Saccharomyces cerevisiae S288C: one gene and its partner. The protein of the gene in region 2 interacts with the protein of the main gene of each other region in a biochemical or structural test. Each region holds a gene or a part of one and is shown on either strand. Other genes may lie near its edges. The genes, in order: RUB1 and DDI1.

Region 1 (2,857 bases), on a different chromosome or scaffold from region 2:
ACCCAAGATATGAAATAAATTATCCTCTTAATAGAAATTTTAAACTGATAAGAAATTCATGCATAGTGTCCCAAACAATTCAGATAGATTTTAGCGTACCACAGAGATCCTATCAGAGAGTAATACTTATGATGAAAACAAAAGTCAATCCATTCGGTTTAAAAAAATGACAAACCTATATTTGATTAGATTAATCAGGCGTCAATAACGTCCTTAGAAGTCCCTTTGCTAAGACTGATATCGTTGGCAAAAGCATGCTCCGAGTTTAGTATATACTTCCACTTGATAAAGTTGTAGCGCAAAGGATGCTTTTCTTAATGAGAAATTCGGTATACTACAAGAGGACATCCAATCGTGCTTACAAAATTGCCCTGGAAGACATGATTGAGAAGAAATGGCGAAATATGTCTTTTGGTCAGATAGTCTGTAATCGCATATAACAGTATGCTTGGTTTGCTCTTTATCACCACGCTTTTCCTCTCTTTCCAGCGCGAACCATGCAATGGCCAGCTTTATGAAATTTAAACCATAAAGTCATATGAGACCAGCAATCAGACCATATATAGCCGTACTATGCTATAACGGATAATTTGATAGATACTAAACAGTTTTAGTTCACATTTCTCGTCTAAAAACAATTAATTTATTATAACAGACTCTATAGACTAAATTGTATGTATTTTTTTTTTTGACAAATTGGGGGCGGTAGCCTTCCAAAGTCCAAGTGAACTTATGTTCGTTTTGTCTTCTTTTCTAATGAACACCTTCGATAAAATTCCATAAATGACGGAAAATGGTTCTAGTTACCACCTCTTAGTGTTAATACCAAGTGGAGTTGCATTCCCTCTACTAGATGTGCATCCGTTACTGTTAATTTATCATCACTATCCTGGTCGTTAGTAAGGTCTCAAAAACGTAAATAAACTTAAAAGATAATTAACCACTGAATGAACATACATTTGTTTTCCCTGGAATATAAGTCTTTGTTGAGATGGTGGAATCCCTTCTTTTTCCTCCAAAAGTTCCTTGATGTGATATACGAGATCTGATTCCTTCAGCTCAACAGAGATCTCCTTCCCAGTCAGTGTCTTCACTTTAACAATCATCGGTTACGGCTGTAAGGAAGTTAATTACCTTCCTTTATTTATTCCTCTGTCGGAATACTTCATTTGAATAACAGAATTTTGGTTTTTCAGCTAAAAGTTGTTCGTTTGCCTTCCCGAAGACGCCATCGGAATTTGATTTCATATAAATATTGATATAATTATACTCTGAAATATAATATTGATAAACTTAACACAGGGTGAGAAAGGTGAAGTATGCTACCGACCCCTTATGTAAAATGCGATTACGATAAAGTATATGAGCCTGCTGAGGATAGCTTCCTCATACTGGACTGTTTGGAAAAAGAGCATGATTTTTTGAAACAGAAATTTGGTAATCGTTTGGCCATCGTTTGCGAAATTGGTTCGGGATCAGGTATCGTCACAACATTTCTAATGCAAAACAAAATAATACCGCAGGAAAATTCCATCCACTTAGCTGTTGATATCAACCCATGGGCGCTCGAAGCAACTTTGGATACTGCGAAGTTAAATTCATGTAAAAGTTCTTTTTTAGAAGTGATTCAAGCTGATTTAAACTCCAGTATTCGGAATAATCAGGTTGATGTCCTAATATTTAACCCACCATATGTGCCAGCAGAATGTGTGCCAGATGTCCCAGGATCAAGAGAGGAGGCAGACCAATGGCTAGATTTAGCGTTATTGGGTGGAAAAGACGGGATGGCGATTACTGATAAACTGCTACGACAATTAGAACAAATTCTTTCTCCAGATGGTGTTGCATATATATTATTTTGTGCAAGAAATAAGCCTAAAGAAGTCATTAAGAGGTTTGTCGATACTTACAAATGGAATGTGAAACTTATTGAAACGAGAAAAGCGGGATGGGAAGTCCTCAGTGTGTACAGCTTTACAAGGTGACAGTTGCAAAACCTTTCACGTTATAATTGATAACCTGTGTCTTTACTCAAAGCGTATAACTATATTTCGGTTTATAAAGAAAAATTCATAGCTATGCTCATGACAGAATATCTTTTTTGAGATCTTCACCACAACCATATAAATCAACTGACCCTAGTCCGTAAACTTTCTCATAATGTAGATAACTCAAATTCTGGAAGAAGCTTCTTAGTTGCGTGTGTCTCTCGATTTTGTGAATGCCTCGTAATAATGGGAGACCATCTTTTAAAGTTGTCGGTAATTCAAGATCATCAGTTTTGGTTATTTCGTAATCTTTGAATTCTGCGATTTCATCTACCAGCGCGACGAATGAGTTCGTTTTATATACGCAATTTATTGTATCAATAACAAAGATCCACTCATTCGTAGAGGTGAAGCCTTCCATGTTGAGTAAGAGTAGCAAATCCAAAGTTTTACATACTTGCAATATTGTTTGTGGATCGACTTCTGACTGTATTTGAAGTGATTCATAAAATTCTTGCAAATTAGTTTGTAAACAGTAACTGATCATAGACCAATAGTCATTGAAATGGGACTCTGAAAATCTTAAAAGTAAAACCCTTAGTAAGATCCAGCAGCTTCCCTTGAGCTTGATATCTTTGGACACCAAATAGTGGAAAATGCAACTTATTAAAGAGGAAAAGTGCAACAAATATGCGTCATTTGGCGATACCATCAACAAGTACGATATTTTCAAAAGGTTTTGGCACTTGTACTCGACTTCAGAATCGCTTCCTAAGTTAAACGTGATTAAAGTCGGAGTCACACTTGAACGCTTGGAGCCAATTTCTAATAGTAAATCGTTCAAGATTTTTGACTTATTTTCTGGATAA
Region 2 (4,032 bases):
TGTCGATGAACAATGGTCATGTCCTAAATGCTTAAAAAAGCAGCCTTCCACTAAACAACTGAAGATTACTAGATTGCCTAAGAAACTAATTATTAATTTGAAACGATTTGACAATCAAATGAATAAGAATAATGTGTTTGTCCAATATCCTTACTCCTTAGATCTTACACCATATTGGGCGAGAGATTTTAATCATGAAGCTATTGTTAATGAGGACATTCCTACCAGGGGCCAAGTACCACCATTTAGATACAGACTGTATGGGGTTGCATGTCATTCGGGGAGTTTGTATGGGGGACACTATACTTCATACGTTTATAAGGGACCAAAAAAAGGTTGGTATTTTTTCGATGACTCGCTTTATCGTCCTATAACGTTTAGTACTGAATTTATCACACCCAGTGCATATGTTTTATTTTACGAAAGAATTTTTTGAATCAAATTACCGGTTTGCAACACATGAATGGCGCACATTGAGGCACAAATACAATCTGCATATTATATACTTAACAGAAGTACAATCATATACAATACAAACAACAATTGACGAAACAATGAAAGTATGTACATCCTTATACTTATCTATTTGTGTTATGGGCTACATACGTAGAGGCCGATCACAATATCAGTGGTTGCTCATTGGAAAAGGAGGGATGCAGCAAATTCTGCATTTCCGTTAGTCTGTTTAAGAGCCTTTACCACAGCATCCCTAGGGAAACCTAGATCCATAAGCTGTTTAATCGTTTGTTCGGGAAACGTTCTCCCGGTTGCCGTTGTAGCACCGGCTGTACTTCTTCCCGTAGGTGTTGGCCCCATACCAGTCCTTGGAGCAAGCGCAGGAACAGCCCCCGGTTGTGGTGGTAGAGTTGAACTAGTCTTGGTGGGTGTTAGGGGCTTATCAGACGAAGTTGTAACTGACGTTGGTGCTGGAAGTCCTTCTTGAAAACTTTTTGGGATTTCCGCTTCACTCAAAAAGCTTGTCTCCACTTCTGCTATCCTAAGAACGTTTTCCTTTAAGTCCACACAAGCCAAATGCCTTTTCAGCATGTCTAGTCCTATCAAAACATCGATGTCAGTATCTAAGACGGTAAAACTGCATGGAATATATTGTGTTTCTATTTTGACTTGGGCTTGGTGAATTCTCCCAATAATTTTGCCGGTTCCTACGCCACGAGCTTCTCCAATAAATCTCTTGTCAATCATTCTCGACAGGCCAGTTTTCTTCGCTAACCTGGTGGACATAATCGTTGTTTGAGCCCCTGTATCTACAAATGCCTTTACGGGGTAGTTATTTATTTCGATATTAATGTAAAGCATAGGGACCTGGGTAAACATTTCAGGTGTATATTCGATAGCATTGCGCAACTGTTCATCGATAGCTTGTTGGTCTAAAAGCTCTGCAATCCTCTTCTTGTTGTCAGGATCATCGGGGTTGGCCATTAGTCTAGTATATTCATCTTGGGGGATGCCAAAAGGATTCATGGCGGTGTTATAGCCACCATAACGTCTTTGTAATATGAGCGGGCCCAATCTTTCCCTAAACAACAGTGGGTCATTTACTAAATCATTCAATCCAGGGATTTGCAAAATGAGTTGTGATCTAAGCATTTGATTATTAAGTAGCTCTTGTCTAAATTGCTCTATGAACGCTTCGTCGGACAAAGTAGCAGCATCTGTTTGAATGGAATTGGAAATCTTACCCCTAATCAATAATAAGTCATCGGTTTTGAGCCCTAGTTCTTTTAAAGACTGAGTTCTGTTTGAGTCTAGAATGTCCATATTGTAATATAAGTCGTGTTTTGTTTTGTCAAACCCGCAATCGGCCTGCAGTAATGCTATTAGATCAGTTAAAGCCATATCTTCACTGACTTCAATTGGGCCGTATATCTCGCCAGTAAGTTCGTTTGAAATTGTTAAATCCATCTTTACGTATATTTTTGCTGTTATGTTTGGTATGTACTTTGTTAACTACGTTAAGTATACTTTCTTATTCGACCTACTTTATATATCATTTTGGTATTATTATCTTTTCGGTGGCGATGAATTTACAGGGCGGGGTGGCGACGGGAATTCTTACATAAAGTTTAAGTTATCTATGAATCAATGAGAATTGGCCACTGCCCTCTGATATGACGATGGAAGTGGTACTTTTCCTTTTTAATTTTTTACTGAGAATCAAGAGAAGCTAGAGAGGGATTGGTCTCAATGAAACTAAAAAGGGAGTATGATGAGTTAATAAAAGCAGACGCTGTTAAGGAAATAGCAAAAGAATTAGGGTCTCGACCTCTAGAGGTTGCTCTTCCTGAGAAATATATTGCTAGACATGAAGAAAAGTTCAATATGGCTTGCGAACACATTTTAGAGAAAGATCCATCACTTTTTCCCATACTTAAGAATAATGAATTTACGTTGTACTTGAAGGAGACTCAAGTCCCTAATACACTCGAAGATTATTTTATTAGGCTTGCAAGCACAATTTTGTCTCAACAGATCAGTGGCCAAGCAGCTGAAAGCATCAAGGCAAGGGTTGTCAGTCTTTATGGCGGTGCATTTCCTGATTACAAAATCCTTTTCGAAGACTTCAAAGACCCAGCAAAATGTGCAGAAATCGCAAAATGTGGATTGAGTAAAAGGAAAATGATATATCTAGAGTCTCTTGCTGTCTATTTTACTGAAAAATATAAGGATATCGAAAAGCTCTTCGGTCAAAAAGATAATGATGAGGAAGTGATTGAAAGTTTAGTTACGAATGTAAAAGGTATAGGCCCATGGAGTGCCAAAATGTTCTTGATCTCCGGATTGAAAAGAATGGATGTATTTGCTCCTGAAGATCTAGGTATTGCTAGGGGTTTTTCAAAATACCTTTCAGATAAGCCAGAATTGGAAAAAGAATTAATGCGTGAAAGAAAAGTAGTTAAAAAGAGTAAGATTAAGCATAAGAAATACAACTGGAAAATATATGACGACGACATAATGGAAAAATGCTCTGAAACATTTTCTCCGTATAGGTCTGTGTTTATGTTCATACTTTGGAGGCTCGCGAGCACAAATACAGATGCCATGATGAAGGCAGAAGAAAATTTCGTGAAATCCTAACTTAAAGATATCATGTATTACTGACATTTATATAAGAAAAAAAAAAATAAAAATAAATACACCCTATTGTTGTGTGTGATGCCTACTAAAGAAATTCATATTTACAGCTTCTCGTAGGGATACCAACATATAATAAGAAAAAGCCTCACACATACAATCCAACCATTGGAGCGACAAAGCGGAAAAGCGAGTATACTGTCAATTCTCATAAGAATACCTTTATCCATTATAATGGTTTCGAGGCTAACTTCGACGCTTCACTTAAAATTTTACCGCTAGTTACTTTGCTTGAATGTGGCAAGGTAATGATTACGTTTCTCATCGGAGCTCTTGGCTTCCTTAATTGAGAGGCAAACACCAAAGAACTTGTTAGCAACGCCAAAGCACCAGCTTGATGGATAGAAGCTAACGATATTGGGACTAGGTACAATATAGTTAAAATACCAAGTGTTGCTTGTAAAGTAACGACGCCCATCATAACATGCAAAGAGGTCATCGCGTTCCTTGGAATTACGGCCTTCTTTTTGATAGCGTACATATGAGCAGCTAGTACTGATGTAAACGCAACGTACGCACATGTCCTATGGACCAACTGAACTGTAACCGGGTTTTCTAGCAAATTCCTCCACCACAGATCTTTCTTGTCCTCTCTTCTACAGAAGTTTTCGTCCATTAATTCACGAGAACTAGGGAACCATCGTTCACCCATTTTTGGCCAGGTGTTATAGACCCAACCAGCATCCAAACCGGCAACCATACCGCCACTCATAGCGGTAAGGAAAGACACCGCTAACAAAGCTAAAGAAATCTTTCTCATTGGGCCAATTGCGGGATTATCTAATTTTTTGAAGAGACTAATGGCTTGAACAGGGTTCTTAATCCATTTACATTCTCTCAATATTTCCAAACCAGTCCAGAGCATACCCATGTATAAAA

The links.
Region 1: the proteins of DDI1 (region 2) and RUB1 are reported together in a solved structure, tested with the Saccharomyces cerevisiae proteins (one study listed by BioGRID).

The regions. Positions count from the first base shown.
Region 1 is NC_001136.10:732,819-735,675, forward strand, and holds RUB1 (NEDD8 family protein RUB1), read right to left. Parts: upstream 1,107-2,857; coding exon 958-1,106; intron 885-957; coding exon 800-884; downstream 1-799. Other genes in the region: HPR1 (Hpr1p), read left to right, coding at 1-18; MTQ2 (S-adenosylmethionine-dependent methyltransferase), read left to right, coding at 1,320-1,985; DOP1 (Dop1p), read right to left, coding at 2,083-2,857. UniProt on the Saccharomyces cerevisiae protein: Ubiquitin-like protein modifier that can be covalently attached to lysine residues of target proteins. Activated by the dimeric UBA3-ULA1 E1 enzyme and conjugated by the E2 UBC12 to substrate proteins.
Region 2 is NC_001137.3:454,210-458,241, reverse strand, and holds DDI1 (Ddi1p), read right to left. Parts: upstream 1,924-4,032; coding exon 637-1,923; downstream 1-636. Other genes in the region: putative ubiquitin-specific protease UBP5, read left to right, coding at 1-436; MAG1 (DNA-3-methyladenine glycosylase II), read left to right, coding at 2,206-3,096; COX15 (Cox15p), read right to left, coding at 3,323-4,032. UniProt on the Saccharomyces cerevisiae protein: Aspartic protease. Appears to act as negative regulator of constitutive exocytosis. May act at the level of secretory vesicle docking and fusion as a competitive inhibitor of SNARE assembly.